Drosophila melanogaster: one gene and its partners. The protein of the gene in region 3 purifies or fractionates together with the protein of the main gene of each other region. This does not show direct contact. Each region holds a gene or a part of one and is shown on either strand. Other genes may lie near its edges. The genes, in order: l(2)dtl, mahj and Cul4.

Region 1 (5,395 bases), about 16 Mb from region 3:
CCGCAGCCCGATATCGTGCGACTTGAAGACATTGTCCGCCATGACTAAAGCGGATGGGAGGGGTGGGATTGGAATTCAGATTCAGACATTATTATCGCTGCATATTCATTGACTAAAGCATTGTGGCAAAGAAATACGAGCAGTACGAGCAAACAAAACGGAGCAACAACTCAGCAACCAAGGAAAACTTAAAACTGAACACTGAATGGTGGCAACTGAAAAGCAAATCAGCTCCGCTCTTCTCCGCGGTTTACCTTCCAAGTTCCAGTAGTCGACGCTCCACAGCAGCAGACATTGTCGAAGCCCGGCCACCGACATCGCGACTATATATCACACATATATTACACCGATTCCAGTTGCAAGCATTGATAAGGGAATTATAGACAGAGATATAAAAACATGAATGATTGGGCCATGTACATCAGCGCCGTATCTTTAGATAAAGGAAACCTGGTTCTTTCTTCGCTGTGCTTCTGTGTTTCTTTGTGCTTTACGTGAAGTGGGCAATAAAACAGTCTGTGTGGCCTACGTTTAACTACAATGAGTCACTCAAATGCAATTACTTTTACCTATAGTGCTGGGAACTGAAACATTGGAGGAGAGTCCTGTAGGACTGAAGTCTGTTTAGACTAATAAATGGAATCAACTAACATAAGTCACATTTCTATTTAAAGAACAAAACAAAACGATTAATGTACGCACAACTTTATTTGTAACGAATAATTTCTTATCGAGTGTTCGTCACAAGCTTTTAACAAACAAAACAGGAATCTAACGATAATAAGACATTCTGGGGAATTCGAATTGGGTTATCATCGTAAACACAACATAAAACGAATAAATTTGATATAAGGAATTTAATGTACAGTCAAAGTTAGAGCTCCGCTGCTCCACAACTTTGCTGCTTTCCACACACAGATATAGGAATGCTGCCGTATTAATAATGGATGACCAACTGCGCCCCTCTGACCGTATCTATAAGGTCGTTCTAACGGCGCGGCGTACGTGCTGGAGCCCGAAATGGAAATGCGGCAGTGCTTCCAACTGTCCAAACAAGGAGTCCCGATCAGAGCTAGTTGGGTGACGGAGTGCTGGGGGGAGGAAACCGCTGGCGGGTCAACAGAGTTCAGACACACATAGGTATTAACTAGAAGTCGTGACTAAGCCTAATCTGGAGCAGGGCATCCCTGGTTGCTAATTTAACTAAGTGAATGCCAGTTCCAGTTAGATAACGCCCGGCAATAGAACCGTGTCAGGACACGGACTGCTCCAAATGGCTAAGGTCACGCGAAGTGCAATAAAAGAAGGCCTATCCCTTCAAAGGAACGGAGTGTGGGTCCCCCAAGGACGCCAGTGGAGTGCGGAAGTGCGCTACAGCCGAAACCACAGAGTACTTGAGTTCGTTGGGCCATTCTTCTCCTGGCTTTCCTGTTTGTCCTGCATTTGCGTGTTCCGTTTTCGCAGCAGGAGGGTTTCTTTACCTTCTGGGTGTTATTGATTGCAACAGGCTGTGTGTGATGCCCGCCCCCTTGAAACCAGAATAGAAATCCAATTTGGCGCTCACCTGTTTTTGTTTTTGTTGTTGCTGCAGTCCTTGAATCGAATCCTTGAGTCCTTGAGTCCAAGTATGTGTGTGTATGGGTGTAATGTGTGCTTGATGACCAGTGTCCGCAAATCGAAGTGCTAGCGAAAGCAACTGAAAGGGGTTGGCTGCATTAAAGCCCGCGAACTGCGTACAATTTGCAGCTAAATTTATGCGCAACTTCGATTAAACATAAAACAACTCAGCGAACAGCAACAAAAACAAAATATCAGCCTGTGAGACCAGCTGCTTGTAGCAACCAAATGTTAGACTGAAACGAATCAATCTTCCGTGGCTAGTATTATTTTCACTTTTGGCGGTTCTCCAGTCTTTCGCAACAGAATGCGTTTACTTCCCATCTGAGCACGGTCACACTGCCCAAGAGTCCAGCTGCGTCGTTGAAAAATATTTTCGATGCCTCGAAGGTTGATTTATTTCAGAGGAAATAGCAGGAAATAAAGTTGAAAACGCAGATTACGAGCAGCAGCCGCCAAGAGGAGTGCACAATGAACATTTACAACAAGTTGCGGGCCAGGGAGCATGGCTACGGTGAGTCTTTCGCTTGGCGGGAGAATCTCACTTTTGGCGCTCGAATTTCCTGCGATCAAAGGTGTTGATTTTTAAAAGGTTTCAATGGGTTTTCCTGGCCATCTGGTCAATGTGCATCCTGCACGGCCACCTGACCACAGAGCATTGCCTAAGGGGTGAAGAAACCCGACTAGTTGCTCCACTGGAAACTGCTGATCGTGCAGAAGTTCCGTGGAAAACAAAGCCACGGCACTATTTTCATGGTTTCTCCTCTGGTTTTCGTTTTTCTTTTTAGGCAATGAGAGGACCTACGACTTCGCCCTGCGCCGCCTTTCCGTGGCCAAGGAGGACAGCTGGCGGGGCATCGCGCCGGCCAACTACTGCCCAGACTTCAATCCGGAACCGCCGATCTTCTCCGCCAAGTTCGCCAACTGCGATGGCTATCGGCACATCCTGGCGATCGCCAACGAGGACGGCAAGATCACGCTGCAGGACACCACCCAGCGCAACCACCAGCCGGAGGAGCAGTCCCTGGTGGGCCCGCAGTGCCACTTCAACGCCGTTTTCGATCTGGAATGGGCACCCGGCCAGATGCGCTTCGTCTCCGCCTCGGGCGATCACACTGCCAGACTGTGGGAGGTGGCGGGCTCCGGCATACGCGGCCTGAACTCCTATGTGGGTCACACAAGGTCCGTCAAGTCGGCGGCCTTTAAGCGCACCGATCCCGCTGTCTTCGCCACCGGCGGCCGTGATGGCGCCATTCTCATCTGGGACATCAGGGCCAATCTCAATATGGACCTCACGTCACGCGTGGACAACTGCATCTACAGCGGTCACACGGGCGGACCGGGCACGCCAGTCTCACAGCGCAAGCAGCGCACACGCACTCCCAAGATGGCCGGAGGAACCACCTCGAGCAGCATCACTGGCTTGGCCTTCCAGGACAACGATACGTTGATCTCCTGTGGTGCCGGTGACGGAGTCATCAAGGTGTGGGACCTGCGGCGCAACTACACAGCCTACAAAAAGGAGCCACTGCCCAGGCACAAGCTGCCATATGCCGGCAGCTCCACCTTCCGTGGATTCACCAACCTCATTGTGGACGCGTCAGGCACGAGGCTGTATGCCAACTGCATGGACAACACCATCTATTGCTACAATCTGGCCTCCTACTCGCAGCGCCCGCTGGCGTGCTACAAGGGACTCCTTAACTCCACGTTCTACATCAAATCCTGCCTCAGCCCGGACGGCAAGTATCTGCTGAGCGGAAGCAGCGACGAGCGGGCTTACATCTGGAACCTGGACCACGCCGAGGAGCCGCTCGTTGCACTGGCCGGACACACGGTGGAGGTAACCTGCGTGGCCTGGGGCTCCAGCCACGATTGCCCCATTGTCACGTGCAGCGATGATGCGCGTCACAAAATCTGGCGGATTGGACCCGACCTGGATGGCCTCAGCGAGGCGGAGCGGGCGGAAAAGTACCGAGGAACTGCCTCCTACGTCAGGGAGTTCGGCAAGAAGGCATTTGGTCCGTCTAGTGGAAATCACAAGTACAATCTTCGAGATCTGGAGTCCACGCCAAGATCTCTGAAGCGCCTTATGGATCAAAATGAAAGGACGCCAGGTTCCGTGGAAAAGACGACGACCAAGCGTTCGTTCCTGGAAATGCTGGGCGTAGCTGGCCAGGAGACGGAAGCCACAGAACAGCCCCAGAAACGGGCGAAGCCACTGGAGTCACGTGGAAGGCGGCTCTTTGGACCTTCTAGCCAGGAAACTGCTTGCAGGCACATACAACTTCAGTCCATAAACGAGGAAGATGCCTCGCCGAGCAAGAGACAAAAGGAGAACTCTGCCGCGGAGGATGTCTCACCACTGCACAAGCTTCTCAGCACACCAAGTCATTCCCCTTTGAGTGAGAATGTCAACCATGTGTACACCTCCCCGCCAACCACGTCAGCGGCAGCAGCAGCGGTGGCTGCAGACGCGCTTAATCCGCCGCCGATCTCCGCTGCCATCTACTCGCCCACCTCCAACCTGCCCAATTACGTGCTGGATGGCGAGGCACCGCACCTGGGCATCATGTCGCCCAAGCGGAAGGCGAAGGAGAAGGTGGACTGGCTGACGAATATCCGCAAACAGAAGCTGATGAGTGGCAGGGCCCATGTGACGCTCAGCGAAAAGATCAGCGAGGAGCAGCAGGCCGATGTGCTGGCATCCCCGCGCCTCCAGAGTCTGCGGCAGTCAGAGTGCAGTCCCAGGATACACGCCTCGCCCCGCAGACGCATCTCCCATACGGACGGAGGCGGTGGCACGCCGGCTGGCAGCTCCTCGCACTCCCATTCCCAATCCCAGCCAAAAACGCCCACTTCCAGTAGGCGAAACAGCGAGACGACGCTCCTGCGATTCTTTAGCATTCAGAGAAGTAGCAGTGTGCCGGCGGAGGAAACAACGACAACGAATGCGGCTCCCTCCTCTTCTGATCCCCATCCCCCGGCAGTGACTGCGCCCGCAGCCACGCCCCTCAGCATGCGCACGCCCACGACGGCGGTGGGCAGCGATTGACGCGGAGCCTCGAGCCACAGCACCATTATTGCACTTGTAGTTTTAAGCGGACATTGTTTAAGTTATTTTATGTAGATAGTAGGTTGCATCTATCGCGGGACGAGTTGGTAACCAACTCCCCGCCCTCTGTACAGAGCCAAAAGATACGAAAGACTAACGTACCCGAATAAAAGTAACTCCATTTTAAAGCTGCCTTGATTGATTCTCTAAAAACTAACTCGTTTAATGTACTGTTTATTCAATTTTTTTTTTGGCATAATCAAAACGGTTTATATGTGGCACTCATGGCTAACAAGTGGCACTCAGACCATTTTACTGCAGCTTTTTCTGTTGCTCCTGCTGCTCCCTCTTGGCCGCATTATTAATCCGCATGGTCTGGACAAGCTGCTTGGCCACCCCAGCGAGCAGTATGATGTGGGTGAAGTGAAGGGCAGCGCTGGAGAAGTTCGTACTGGGATAGGTGTTCCAGCAGTACTCAATCAGTCCGAGGATCAGGCAGCGCACGCCCAGCGAGTACGGCGTCGACCAGGCCAAATAGGGTAGCGAGTGGAAGTACCAGACGTAGAACTGATAGTGCAAGGATCGGGAGCAGGCCACGCCCACCAGGTTGCACAGGAAGAACGGCAGCAGGGCCAGCTGGGTGCAGCGATCGAAGTGGATGCCATAGCGTTCCGGTTCCGCCTGTGCGGGTGCCGGAGTGGCCTTTCCTCCAGACGCCTTCTG
Region 2 (7,619 bases), about 14 Mb from region 3:
CTGGCTTTAATGCAATCCTGCGGCATTCGTATTTGATTTGTACAAAATTCAAAAATAACAATTTAGATTTTAATGTAACAGCTTAATATCTAGAGTGCTTATGCTACGACGACTGTTGCTTGCTCATCCTTCCATGCGCGCTGCGGACAACTAAGAGGTTCAAACGAGACGAGACGAAACAGTGGGTGAACAGTGGAGCGGAGCAGTGGATCGGTGAAGGAACAGTTGTGTGTGTTGTTGGTTTGGATGAGGAGTGGGCTCAATCTAGGGGAGGAGAAAATACAAGTCGTACACGAACAGAGTCTAAAGATCTTGAGTTACCGTCTGAGCTGCTTCTATCGAAGTATTCCAGCACATCAAAGTCGCCATCGTCGTCGCCATTGTCGGAGCCGTCGTCGTCGTCACTATCGTCATCGGAGTCCAGCGGCTCTCCATCATCGTCGTCCTCATCCAGATCTTCGTCATCGTTGTCCGAGCCATGAAGGTTACGAAGCAGGGGGAAACCCAGTAAATTTTGACCTATAGCAAAAGCTAGGGAGTAAGGAGATTTAGCAACGGATTAAATGATTATAATCAAAATCAAACTTACTGTTCTCGGAGCCCGTATCCGAACCGTCCTCATCAGATTCGGGCACCTCCTCATCATCTTCCTGCAAGCATAGACATAATATTTAGTTCAATATCATCCATGCGCCGCATGAGGGTTCTCAGATCTATGGCAGCGCCGATTCCGACTCCGCCACCACCATTAAGATTCAGATTCCCATTCCCGCCACTGCCATTGCCGCTGCCATTGCCACCCAGTCTACGTGCCCGCCGTCGCACCCCAACAATTGAGCTGTTGGGTGCATGTTGGCGAGAAAGATTTGGACTTGCTTGCGTGGCGGGACTTAGCCGGCGTAGCTGATCCTCCTCAAAATCGTTGGGACCGGCGGGTGCAGCGTTTTCCGCCGGCTGTGGGCGCTCCTCGGGTGGCTCCTCGAAAACCCGAAGCAGCGAAGCATCGCCACCATCGTTAGCGTTTGCCGACCCCGGCGCCACTGCGTCCGATACCTCGCTGGCCAGCTCCTTAACCGCACGCACCTCTTCCGAGCGCTCGCTCTTTTTAACGCCCACAGCGTAGATCTTCACGTAGGTCTCCTGTTTGGACTCGTAGCCACTGTAGTCTTCGACCACGGCGATCAGACTCCCGTTGGCGCTGACGCTCAGATCGTTTATGTTGCGTTTAACGTCAATGGTCGCAATGCTCGAGTAGTCGTAGGCGTCCAGAACGTTGAAACTGGTGTCGTAGGTGGTCGTCTCCATGTCATGGTCCCTATCAGCCCCCAAGCTAGCACCGTAGATTACATGCATCGGGGAGAAGGTGCAGTTACGCTGGTCTAGCACCGGCACTGTCTGCAGCAAATGAAAGGTGCGCAAGTCCCACACCTCGGTATTGGCAATGATCTACAAATTGTGTTGGAAATATTAACATGGTATAAATAAATCAACACAAATTTCGACTGTACCTCCAGACAGTTGGGATGGAAGACGCCTGATATGCACTGATTAAACTTGTCGAACTTGTGGATCTCCTTTCCGGAACGCACATCCCATAGAACGCCATCTAGGAATTCGATTCAGTTACATTTCAGGTAACTTTATACTTATAAATGCATTTATGTAATTACCCGACAAAATCAGCTCATCGGTTCGGCAAAGAGTTGCTCTGTTTTTGGTGTAGAGATTAGGTATGGTTGGCGTAAACGAGGCCACCTTGGAACCAGTGTTTATGTCAAAGAGCGTGGCGCACTGTGAAAAAAAGGTGAATTTATTAGTTGAAACTGCTATAGATCGTAAAATAACTCAAATTAGTATACCTCATTCTGGGTGCCCAACAAACGATCCTGCACCGTTTGACTGAACTCACAGTACGTGACATCGGGAAGTCGCAACTTTAGCTTGAACTCATCGTCCGCAATAGACCATAGAATGCTGGTGGGTGTGCGCCAGAAGCTAGATGTGATGACCAAGTCTCCGGCTCTATTAGCCTTAATAGCATCAACGCTAAAGTTGTGACAGTTGGAGAAGAACTGCTCCACGCCATCGTTCATGTTGAACACTCGTCCGTCGCCCTGCTGCGTGCCCACAATGATGTATTTACCCGCCAAATCGCAACAGGTGAACTCTAGGTCCTCGTAGTCCGCCGATCGAATGCTACGCCATGGTGAAAAGTGCGTGTGCACATAGCGACGGTCAAAGCGACTGGTATTAAATCCGGCTTGGGTTCGAGCATGCCGACTAGTCAGGTTGTAGTTCGAGCTTAGCAATCGGCTGGGCTTCGGATCTGGACACTTGTGCGGCTCGTACAAATCAAACTGCGGGCAGGTTGTCACCGGATTATTGCACAGCGAGTGCTGGTTGGTGAGGTATTCCGTTACGATGGTATTTAGGGTGATCCTCTTGGGATGCAGTTGACCATCTTCGGCAAGACCAACTGACATGCCACCAGGCTCCATTGCCTGCTTCTGGATAGAGCGGCTAACTGAACTTCTATCCGTCCTCCTTATTTTTATGGGCGTCTGCGTTGTGTTAAGGGAGCTAAAATTTGGTATGCTGACTCCATCTCCCGCATTGCTACCACCGGCTCCTGCCGGCGAGGAGTCCTCACCAAAACTTCTGTTTAAGTCTCCATTGCCCATTATCGCTGCGTTCACATCTTGCATGCGGCTTCGCAGACGATTTCTAGACAGCGAGCTACTACCACTGGGAAGACTTTTGTAGTCGAAAGGTGATTGATGAAAACTGCGCGTAGTGGGAGTCTGTAGCGGAAGACCCACCTCCCGTTGCAGCATTTGGGCTGTCTGGGAGAGACCGTTGCTTTCCAGGTGCTCGAAGATAAGCTGATACAGCTGCTGCTTGTTATACTGGATGCGTGTCTGGGCGATTACATTGGCCTTGTGCATGTTGGACAGCGATGGATCCAAAGGATTATTTAGCGGTTTCGTCTTACCCGACACTCGTTCTAGCAACTCCAATGCGTACTTTTGGAAGATTACATGTTCCGCGCGCTTCTCCTGGAGTATGGGATCCCGCATCAGCGTCTGGAGTTGTCCGCTGGCAAAGAGTGGAAGCTTGCTGACGATCTGCCTGACCCGATCGGAGCGAGCAAGTCCCGCCAAGGCCCTACAGGCCATTCCACGTATACAGTCCGCATCCGTAATGGGTCCTTTGGTCTGCATCAGCGATAGCAAGACCACAATGCCATTGTTGGAGCACACGGACTCCCACACACGTTCAATCAGCTCTTCGGCGTACTTATGGTTGGCCTTGTTCTTCCTGGAGGACGTTCCAAACTTAATCAGGCTGGTGCCGCTGTCCTTGCGAATGATCGGAGAGCAAACACAATGGCACAGCACCGCTAACGCCGATTTGATAACCTCTGCATCCGAGCTAATCTCTCCTGCAGCAGCGCCCAGAACCGAGCAAAATCCGGAGGTAGTTGTCTTGTCTAGCATCAGCAGGCGCTCGCAGAGCACAACATAAACTCTTGGGATAATACAGCATACGCTGAGCACGTCCAGAGCCGAGCGCACCGTCTCGGAGCGTCCACTGTTCACCCAATCGTAACTGAAGGCGATGATCCTGAGTAGCATGGTGATTCCACCAAGCTTCATTAGCTGATCCACGGGTTGCCAGTGCGCCCGGATAGAAGTGTGCTCCTGGAGCGTGCGAATCTGGTCGTTCAATTGGTCAAAGGTCAGTTTGGCAGCAACCGTGGGATTCTGATTGAAATAGTGGGCTGATGACGGTGCCGGGGATGCCGCATTTGTTTGGCACAGAAAGCTGTTGTACTTGTAGAAGAAGTGCGCCTCCATATAGCGCTTGAGGGCTACGCAGACGTGGCGCACCATTTGTCGGGAAGCACATTCTACGTCTTCGTTGAAATCAGAGTCATTATCGCTGTCGTTGTGGCTCGGATCAAGAATTTTTAGTACGGAAATCTATTAGGAAGAAGTTAAGGTAATTGACTTTAATCGAACTTCTTTCGTTTAAACCATTTACTTACGACATTGTACAGCTTTCTTAAACCATCCTGAGCATCAAACTCATCCAATATGACCTTAAATTGGAAGCTCAGACTGAAGAACATGGTGGCATGGCACTTTGAGGAGTCGTGGCAACGACCCAGAATCCAAAGCGCGTAGCGAACTAGTTCTGAAATAAGTGGTCTTTGCATACTGCATATGCGTTCCATGGCGTCTTCACAGTATGCTAAGTAGTAGATGGCGATGGACACACCAGTAGTCGCCAAACTGGGGCGGGGCACTTTTAACAAAAGCTGTAAAAAATAGTAAAGTTAAAAATAATTACATTCCCTCTACAAGACCATTTACTGACCTCCAGTCCACCGTGTGAAATGAACTCTAAAGCAAACTTCTTGTGGCAAAGAAGGGAAGCCAGATACTTCAAAACTTCGTAGGCCAAGCAGGTGTCCCGGCGATCCAAGTTCTCCAGGTAGCCAAAAATTAGCTGCATCACATTGTTTTCGAAAGCCATGGCTAGGAACTCTTGATATTCGCCCAGGCTGGTCAGGAAGCGCATGATTAACATTTGGCTGGTATCTGCTGTGGCCGGGTGCAAAGGAATGTACATCCGTTTGTAATAGCGAGATACGGAAAAGGCATCTCTGCTGTTCTCGAACAGAATGGACATATTAGAGGCGTCTCCATGCTGCGAGGAACTTGCTCCCAGCCCACTGCCATTGTGCTGCGGCGATTGAGGAGCCGATGCATTACTGGCGCAGGCCACCCAGCTAAGCATGCCCGCCGTGCTGCTGTCAGCCGACAGATTGTGCATCGACGTATTGACATCTGAAGTGGCGCTCTTGCTGATCGCCAGGAGCATGTGCAGACGCTTGATCATCTTTGGCACCAATCGAATATTAAGATCGCGAAAGTTTATGGCTATGTCGCTCACTTCCATCGCTTCGGCTAAAAGCCCGGTGGCATAGCTCTGAAGCGGTTCAATGCTGTCCTCTGCCCAAGAGTAGATGCGATTGATGGTTCCATCGCCTTCGGCGGTCTGAAATACTGCAGAGGTCTCCATTCCTGGCATTATCTCCAGAATGAGGCGGCAGGCCAAGATGTTTAGTTCTAGAGAACTGCGACTGACATTCTGGCGACTGAAATAGTTCTCTCGCAGGTAATCGTTGAGGAGCTAGTTAAATAAAATATTTCACTTTAGTTAGCTTATGTTTTGGAAATTCTAAAACACCTGATTTTAAGAAAACATTTACATTGCTTTTTAGAAAAATAAAAATCACATGACTTTATTCTTACTTTGCCCATGAAGGTATCCTTCCGAAAGAGCAGCTTGAGTAGCAATCCGTACTGGCAGCTGGGATCGGCTCTATATGGATGTCGTGAGTCCAAGGGATCCGGATCCTTGCGCCGATACACGTCCTTCTCACGCTCAAAGATCTCCGCAAGGCTGCGATAGTAAAGGTATTAAGTTGGACCCATGCGTTAATGATTTTGAAGCACGCTTACCTCCTGAGAGTGGGCACTGGATCGTATCCATTTTGGGTCTGCTGTTGCTCCCACTTGTCGATAATCTGGGTGAGCTCCTTCTTGGTGGCTTGGCGACGGTCGGCGGCAGCGGTTTCCTCGGCGTTTCCACCGCTATCGCTTTCGTTTTCCGCATTTTCCACGCTCATGGCGTCGTCAGCATCAGCGTCTTCGTCGGCCTCTGGTTCCCCCCCATCCTGTTGTTCAGCGGCGTCCTCTTCCTGGTTATCGCCAGCCTGCTCCGGCATATCCTCGGCTTCTGGCTGCTCCTCCTCGTCGCTCTGGTAGGCCACAGCCACAGCTTCAGCCATCAGTGCCGCTTCAGTCGCGGCCTCTGCCTCGGCCGCAGCCTCTGCTGCGGCCGCATTCTCGCTTCCGCTGCCCTCAGACATCGAAATGAATTACTGGGTTTTGGATGCACTAGGTCTTGATCCAGTGGCTTTCTTTGCTAGATTTTCGACACAGCGAAACTTACTTCTAATGGCGAAATAAAGCAAATAAATAAGGTATTAAATACCACGCGCTTTTCGCAAAATTAGTGTGGCCTTTTGCTATTGTCGTTGAAATAATGAAGTCAGCTGTCGCACAAATTTGTTTGTTTTCGTCTTTCGGCAAATTAAACCAATCTAAAAGGTCTTTAAATAAGTCTAAAGTACACAAAAGGATTTAAATGCCTAACTCAATTAATTATTTCCAAGCAAATGCACAGATAAAAGCGTGCCAAAGAGCAACGTGCAACTGTGAGGTAAACGGAACGGTGGTAATAGGAACACTACGTTGTTGCTTCTAAATTGTTCACAACTTTGTAGTGATTTCATAAACAAAAATACAGGTAGGTTGAAATACTATTTAGAACTAAGTCTGTGATCTTTTACAACAATTTTTCTGGATGCATGCAAAATATAATTGTCTGATACCATCTCAGTTGATCGATTGAATTAACTATCGCCCGTGTACAACATCTGCATTACAAATTCTGCAACTCCTTGATGTAAACACTAGATCTGTTAACCTATTCTTTCTTTTTATTTTAAAAGACACTTGAAAAATGCGGTTAAATTAGGTACAACGTTGCCAGGTCTTGGTGCAGTTAGTCTGCGGCCTGGCAGCACGGTAAGCAATGAAGGCATTGCCGGATCGATTACATACGCGGTCTGGTAGCCCTCCATGCTTTAGCTCTGAAAATGTTGTGAAAAGAAAACGCTCTTTTCCCCATGATTTGCGTCCAATTCGGAAGTGCTAACTGTGCGGGCGAGATAGTTATAATGCCGATCGAGTGAGGACAAGACACTAAACGGGCGGAGCGACTGCGCTGCGATCGCCCCGCTTCAGCAATTGTGTGTGTGTATCATGGACAAGCTACGAAACAACAACAAGGAGAATGCACCCATTGAGTACCCCTACCCACAGACCCCCCGTCCCACCCACGCCGCCCCCTCCGACACGACCCCACTTGAAGCTGGCGAGGATGCGGAGAGCAACAAGAGTACACCCTACTTTACGCCCCTCGAGTACCTGCAGACGTCCTTCGAGTTTCCGTCGCCCACGGTGGAGGTTGGGGGCGGGGTTCCGGGCTTTCCCGAGCACGAGGATCAGGAGGAGGAGGTCTTCACCCCCCGGCAGTTCACCATTACCAGCCCCCATCCAGCAGCCCACGTCCACCATCCATCCAGCTCACAGTCTCCCACTTTAGGCCGCAAGTTCAAGAGGTTATCACAGTATGATCGCCGATCCTGCTCGCCGCATATTAATACCTCCAGCGGCGAGGAGCGGGTCAGTGGCCGTGGCATCGACAAGGAGAACACTATGCCCAAGGGCGGGTCAGTCGACCAAGACCTAGAGAACAGCTTGTACTTGTCGAAGAGCGAGCACAACTCACCCACCATCCTGTTTAAGGATGAGTCCTCCACGACGCCGGGACTGGAGGCCAGTCGCCTAAGCTACTCCCCGAAACTACTATCCTCCATCAACAACCTAAACGTGTCCGGTTCACCCCTGAACATTATTAACTCGGCCGGCTACAAGAACGGCAACTTCTTTCGCTTCCCCGAGATCGATCATGTCGTGCAG
Region 3 (6,197 bases):
TGGAAATTGCCGGTCCGGCACCCATCTACGTGCCCGATGTGCTGAAAGATAATGGGATAAGGACCAGCAGTGTGCGACCTTCGGCGGCAGCATTTGGGGGCTACGGCTCCGACAGCGTGTCCGAGTACGACAGCTCACAATACAGCGTCAACAGTGTTGAGGCGTAAATGGTATTATTGTCGGGAGACACTACAAATATTTTTGTAATATATCTACAAAAGCCACTAAGAACTTTTCAAGTTGGCAGCTTTGATTTGCATACGAAAGAATGACAGGAGGATAACAGCAAGGCAATTTGTGATACCTAAACCAGCCTCAATGTCATTTTTAATATGACCCCTGCACGCGAAAGCGATAGCAATATTTATTTCTGATCTGTATATAATCTACCTAATTTCCCAATTTTATCTGTAACTGTATATATACTATATTCCTTTGCTAACTGCTTAACAAAGGGCTCGACGCTGATTTTTTGAAGCAGTAATGCTGGTAATATTTTACAAATGAAACACGAAGTGCATTATATTTTCAAGTAATTTTTTATTTATGGTAAATAAAAAACTATTAAGTTATGCGTATCTCTTTTTTGCATACAGAGCTACTAGTACGAGTTATAATTATTTTAATGTTTCCTTTAGAAAATTAGCCTGCAAATGTCACTTCTATTGTTAATTGAAGGAGAATTATCAATTAAAAGTAAACAAATTAGAATAAGTCCAATAAATAAGTTTATTGAACACCTAGTTTGCTTTCGGTTCGAAAACTTTTTTAAATTGCTGGAGGCATCGACGTTCCGAGGGCGATGACCTATTTCAAAGGACTCGGCTTGTAAAATAAACGCTTAATTTATTGTATGATAAGGTAACTTACAAAAAGAACTGTCGCTACACTATTAGCTGGCGGATTGTTCAACGATTTAGTTATAGAAACGAAATTACAGCTGAAAAACTCTGAACATCGCCGATCGGACGAGGGCACTCCAAAAACTTCATTAGACTGCTAGTATGTATGTGTATGGTATAGAGCGAATTACAATCGAATCGGTGTTCGGATTTCACAGAATCTGTGGCCATTTATGCCACATAGTTGTATTGGTTTTGATTATCCTTGTCTCGCTCCATGTAGTCGCGGTCGATGAGCGACTCGATTCGCTTCTTTAGGTCAGCGGGCTGGAATACCAACGAACATATTAGCTTCTTTCTACTTAGAACAAATAGGATTAGTATACGGACCTTGACAGGGAAGGTAAGCTGGTTGAACAGCTCGGTGATGAGAAGATTATGGCTCAGCGTTTTTCGCATTTTCATAATGCGCACAATAGCCGCATCAATTTGATACTGACGATCCTGAAACACACGCTCCTCCGTCGCCTTTTGCTCCTCATTCTAATGGAAAAGGGGAAAGATTAAGTGTGTGCAAATTACATCAAAACTAAAGCCACTTACTGTCTCCTTCATCTGTATTTGGTTGATCTTGATTCTAAACAATTTGTTTGTGAACTCATTGTTAAAATCAAACTGATCGCCATCCAAGATTTCGCGGCCTTTCGGTGTTTTTGTTATGACGCGGGCGCGCCCACAAGCCAGGGACTGAAGTGTTCGACGCAACTCTCCATCCTCGATGAGGGTGGCGGCCAATATCTCCTCGTAGCTCAGAACTGGCTTATCGTTAAACAATAGAAGCACAAGCGCTTGAAACAGCGAGACCAACAATTCTTTCGGTCCCTGTGAAACATACGTAAACATTGCAATCGCATAGAACATAGTAGGAGCCATTAGTAGTTACCGCATCGAATTGAGCACGCAGCATACAATTTCCTAATGTAGGCTGCCACTGCAACTTCCGCCCACTATGCTTTTCCAGATAAAATTTGTTGAAAATCTGCTGAGGATTGATGAACTGTGGCGGCATTGTGACCTCTGTAGGTGCATATGTAGGCCAGTAGCCCATGGTAAGAATGCTGACGCACAAGTCCAAGTTGTGGACATCGCGGTTGTTGCTTAACGCGTGTCCGCGGAACGCAATGTTGATATCTCGGCTCAGTTCCATGTCCTTAAACATGCCCTCCAGCTTGGACGTAAACCCTCCACCGCACTCCTGCTTAAGCTTGGAGAGCATACTCTTTTCGGAATCCACTGATGCCGATTTGCCCACAAGTAATCGTTTGGCCAAGTCCTAAGATGGTATTCGTTATTAAATAATGCTCGACATACAATAGATGGACACAACCTTTTTGTAAAACGCTTCAAATACATCTTTGCCATGTATAAAACGAAACAGAACCATGATTTTATCTAGAGTCTTTTCCAACTCCTCATCTGTGGTTCCCTTGTTGCCAGATCGCAGTTTCATATCTACGTATTTAGCTAATGGAAGAATAAACTTTAGCAAACTCGTTTAAATATAGTGACAGTGGGCGCTTACCAATAAGCTCGGCCGGCTTGTTGGCACGTTGGTTGATAAAGAACTCAAAGGCCTCGCGCAACGAGTTTGTGAATTTCTCATTGTGCTCAAAGCAGGTGCGAACTATCACATCCATTTTGTCCTTGAAATCGAGCAAATCTTGGACCATGCTCTTATCCTTCTCGGGATCGATGACAATGGTGCGTCCCTTTTTCTGAAAGTAAGTATATTAGCGCGATCTATTAATATGTTTTACTGCAGTTAAAACAAAGGTATCTTTAAATAAATTTATACTACTTAACATATCCATACCTTAATGAAACCGTTGAAATTGCCGCACAGCTCGGATGTTCCATTTTTGACTCGACTAAGCAGCCCGTACAACAGTGTAAGGTCACTCAGTCTGTTGTCTTCCAACAATGAATCCAAGCCCTTCTGCAATATTGACGTTAGGTGTTCGGCAAGTAACTCTTTTTCCACATTGTAAATCAGTGGATGTCTGTAAAAAACGCATTAATAATTGTTTTTATTATTGACTTCGCCAGCATACTTGGTGCTCGAGTCCAGATAGTGACGCAAACGCTCGTTCTCCTCGGCCAAACGCTTGTTGACGTGTTGTAAGTACTCGGGAACTTCCAGTTCTTGCATCTTGCGTTGACTCTCAGCCTTATACAATTGATTGGTTGCGTCGAGGAACTTCTCCTCAAAGGAGCTGGTGTAGATCTGCAGGTCGCATAACATGCGAACCAAGCTCTTCAGCAAACCACGGTCCACGGTGGAGCCTTGTCGTTCTTTTTCAATAAGCGTTAGTAAACCGTCGACGGTTCGCTTTTGGACAACGCTGTTTTGAGCAAAATGGATGCGAAAAAGGTCCAGCCCCATGTCCCAAATCGAGTGAACGGTCGAATTTTGCAGCACATAAGTTCGATCCATATACAAGAATATGCTGCGAATCATGATCATTTGTTGGCAGAACGAGAGCCACCAGTGGTTGATCTTTTCCAGCAAAATCTAAAAGACAATAAAAGTTGACGAGTAAACCTTTAAATGTGCTCCTTAAACAGCAACTTACCAGTTTGTCCATGCTACCGCCGGTGAGCTCCTTGAGCTTAATATTGCGCTTTACGTGTTGCTCTGTTAGCTCCTTGAGTTTCGCGTATAATTGTGCATCCATCTTGTGGCTACACATGTTCACCACCGCCTGGTAGAGCTCCTCCAGCGAATATTTAATGGGCTTGGAGAGTTGGATGGCGATAACGGCTTCTTCAAGCTTCACGTACGTGTCCTTGGAATAGTTATCGGGCAGTGTAGGCTTATCTAAGGAAGGAAGGAAGGAAGTTGAATCATGCAGTATACAAACAGTTGAGATCTAGACGGGACCTACCCTTAAAGTTCTTAATCACTATCTTCTTGACATCGCCAGGCTTGCTGTTGTGAATAGCCCCCATGCGATTGAGGAGATTTGAGGTAGTTGAAGCCGTGCGGATCTCGCCATGGCTGCCGCCTAGCTTGGAGAAGTTTGGCAGGCGCTCGCCGTTGGTGGACGCAGAATTCATGTTTTGGGCAGCGAAGGCACTGCGGCCCACGCTCGAGGCGGCAGCAGCGGTGGGGGCGACGTTCTCGGCCTTCTTCAGGCAGGCGGCAATATTCTCTGTGTTCTCGTGCAGCTCAGTTGTGTCCATGGGCTTGTACTTCTTGGCCGCACTCATAGCTTAGGGCCCCTGCTGCCAGCAGGATCTCCACTCCGCTCCTGCTCTCCTGATCCTGCCCTGCTTTCGTCGCACCGGCTTTGCTTAGTCCTGGGCGTGGAGATCGGTTATTGATTGCTGGCTTTTCCTTTAAGGGAAGGGATTGCAGTTTGTATTTCGATACGTACCCTTGAAATGATTACCAGCAAATATTCGTAATATTTTTGCGACTTTTGCACTGGGGTCGTCAAGAAATTGGCAACTTGCGAACTCAAGGCAAATAGACTTCCTGTGAATTTTCCGGCTGCGAAGTAGATTTCTCCGACAAACGGCGTCCTTTTGGACAAATGGGGTTCCTTCGACGCCTGAGAGACTATTCAAATCGACAAAACTTCGGAAGTACAATTACACAGGCAACATTTTATTATTTCGCTTTTGGTTGCATGCGGAAAATATTGCTTTTTGGGATATCGGACGAATCAAAACATCGATTGGCTGCGGGTAATCGATAGCTCAGCGGGCAGCACTGCCTATCGATATTGGTGTGAAACAGGTTAACATTGCCTATCACTGTTAGCACGACGCATTGTGTTCGCGACGCATTTATGTTCGCTTTCGCCATATAAAATGAAAACAAAAGATGAGAAGCCATCGCCTTTGAAAACTGCACCGCGTAAAATAAAGGGTGAGAATTTTCCAGCCAGAAGGATACCCGCAAATGTTTTGAAACGCACGCTTGAGATCGCCACCAGTCCCGAAGATGGCTTTTGGGTGAACCAAAACCCATCCTGTGCTCCTCCGGCCAGTAACGAGTTTTACTTCAGCGTTCGACGATCCACTGCGTACGAGAAACTACGACTGGCCCGGGATTGCCTTATGCAGCGGGACTACAAGAACTTGGCAAAAATACTGGCCTCCAATCATATGGGAGAAACGCTGCTCCAAAGGGCGTCCTTTCAAATATTCACGGAATACTCCAAGGTTCTTCAAAAGTGCCCAAAGTTCTACACGAAAATGGAGCAGTTGCGAGTGGAGCCGACTCCTCCGACGAGACCCACAGATGAAGACATAGCATTAGACGATTCATTAAATGCTATTCTATCCTAGTTACCTTTTTTAATAACGACGAAGTTAGGCAAGAAATATAATATAACTACCTCATAAAAAAACGCATATTAAATTGCCTATTAAAACTGCGTCCATCCCACTAATATATAGTGACGTATTTGGGTGGTCCAAACCAGCCACTTCCATTATTTCAAAGAAATCAGTAATGCACTCTAGTAATTTTCCATAACGTATCCCAGCTGCGCAGCATTCGTTTATCTTTGGCAGCGCAGCCGTTCTTGTAAACATCCTAAAGCCTGACCTAAGCAGATTTGACTGCCCTCTTTCAACGCTACCTAATCTTAAGAACCCAAGAGCGAGGCTCTCCCGAAATACAAATATTGTTCAAATACTGAGGCTTCTCCTCAATCCAATTTGCATTTGATTTTTAGTCTTAAGCTGAGATCCAAAGAATAAAGTCGTGAAACTATTTCTCCTAAAAACTATTTTTTATTTCTTGGCGTTGTCCTTAGTCAACTGACGGGACATTAGTTCGACTCATAAATAAAACAACAATTTTACTGGCGCAGTCGGTAGGATACAAAAGTATCCGAAAAAAAAAGAACCTTCGAGTGGAAAATAAGTTAAATTTTATAGTCCAGTGCTCGAAACATCTCCCAAAATAAATTCGTGAAAACTCTTCAACTTGGATTATAATTCCAATTCGGTTATCCAATAATAAGTGGAAGTGAAATACGAAACAAAAATATTAAGTCCAAAGGCAACTAAGTTTTAAAACCAACATATAAAAATAAAAAATTAAAACAATATAGAATTTTAATAATACAACACAAAAATTTACAAAACAAAAAAAAACAAACAAGTGAAACTAGAAAGCTTAAAAATAATAATAACATTGAATCCGAAACAAAACAAAAAAATAAAACACAAAAGTTAAAAATTTTACAATAAAAATGTCACAACCAATTATTGCGCTGAGCGACATAAACCTTGCCGAAGCCCGTCGGCAGCTTAAAGACATTATGCCATTCAAGGGTG

The links.
Region 1: the proteins of Cul4 (region 3) and l(2)dtl purify together in Drosophila melanogaster (affinity purification with western blotting, with the first as the bait; one study listed by BioGRID). This does not show direct contact.
Region 2: the proteins of Cul4 (region 3) and mahj purify together in Drosophila melanogaster (affinity purification with western blotting; one study listed by BioGRID). This does not show direct contact.

Annotation. Positions count from the first base shown.
Region 1 is NT_033778.4:23,700,547-23,705,941, forward strand, and holds l(2)dtl (lethal-(2)-denticleless), read left to right. Parts: upstream 1-1,930; 5' UTR 1,931-2,088; coding exon 2,089-2,131; intron 2,132-2,405; coding exon 2,406-4,672; 3' UTR 4,673-4,857; downstream 4,858-5,395. Other genes in the region: sigmar (salivary glands marred), read right to left, coding at 1-44, 255-318; Alg3 (ALG3, alpha-1,3- mannosyltransferase), read right to left, coding at 4,985-5,395. UniProt on the Drosophila melanogaster protein: Substrate-specific adapter of a DCX (DDB1-CUL4-X-box) E3 ubiquitin-protein ligase complex required for cell cycle control. The DCX(DTL) complex, also named CRL4(CDT2) complex, mediates the polyubiquitination and subsequent degradation of E2f during S phase.
Region 2 is NT_033778.4:21,623,518-21,631,136, reverse strand, and holds the start of mahj (mahjong), read right to left. Parts: upstream 6,108-7,619; 5' UTR 5,942-6,107; coding exon 5,532-5,941; intron 5,473-5,531; coding exon 5,322-5,472; intron 5,200-5,321; coding exon 4,381-5,199; intron 4,322-4,380; coding exon 4,049-4,321; intron 3,984-4,048; coding exon 1,860-3,983; intron 1,792-1,859; coding exon 1,671-1,791; intron 1,607-1,670; coding exon 1,509-1,606; intron 1,447-1,508; coding exon 1,084-1,446; intron 651-1,083; coding exon 590-650; intron 532-589; coding exon 322-531; intron 265-321; coding exon 260-264; 3' UTR 1-259. Other genes in the region: PTP-ER (protein tyrosine phosphatase-ERK/Enhancer of Ras1), read left to right, coding at 6,900-7,619. UniProt on the Drosophila melanogaster protein: Probable substrate recognition component of tsome E3 ubiquitin-protein ligase complex. Plays a key role in cell competition via its interaction with l(2)gl.
Region 3 is NT_033778.4:8,101,738-8,107,934, forward strand, and holds Cul4 (cullin 4), read right to left. Parts: upstream 4,582-6,197; 5' UTR 4,280-4,581; intron 4,203-4,279; 5' UTR 4,113-4,202; coding exon 3,788-4,112; intron 3,721-3,787; coding exon 3,476-3,720; intron 3,415-3,475; coding exon 2,954-3,414; intron 2,903-2,953; coding exon 2,716-2,902; intron 2,618-2,715; coding exon 2,425-2,617; intron 2,367-2,424; coding exon 2,230-2,366; intron 2,176-2,229; coding exon 1,786-2,175; intron 1,725-1,785; coding exon 1,446-1,724; intron 1,386-1,445; coding exon 1,233-1,385; intron 1,170-1,232; coding exon 1,074-1,169; 3' UTR 871-1,073; exon of another isoform or gene 808-870; 3' UTR 523-807; downstream 1-522. Other genes in the region: Tmem63 (transmembrane protein 63), read left to right, coding at 1-167; udd (under-developed), read left to right, coding at 4,719-5,198.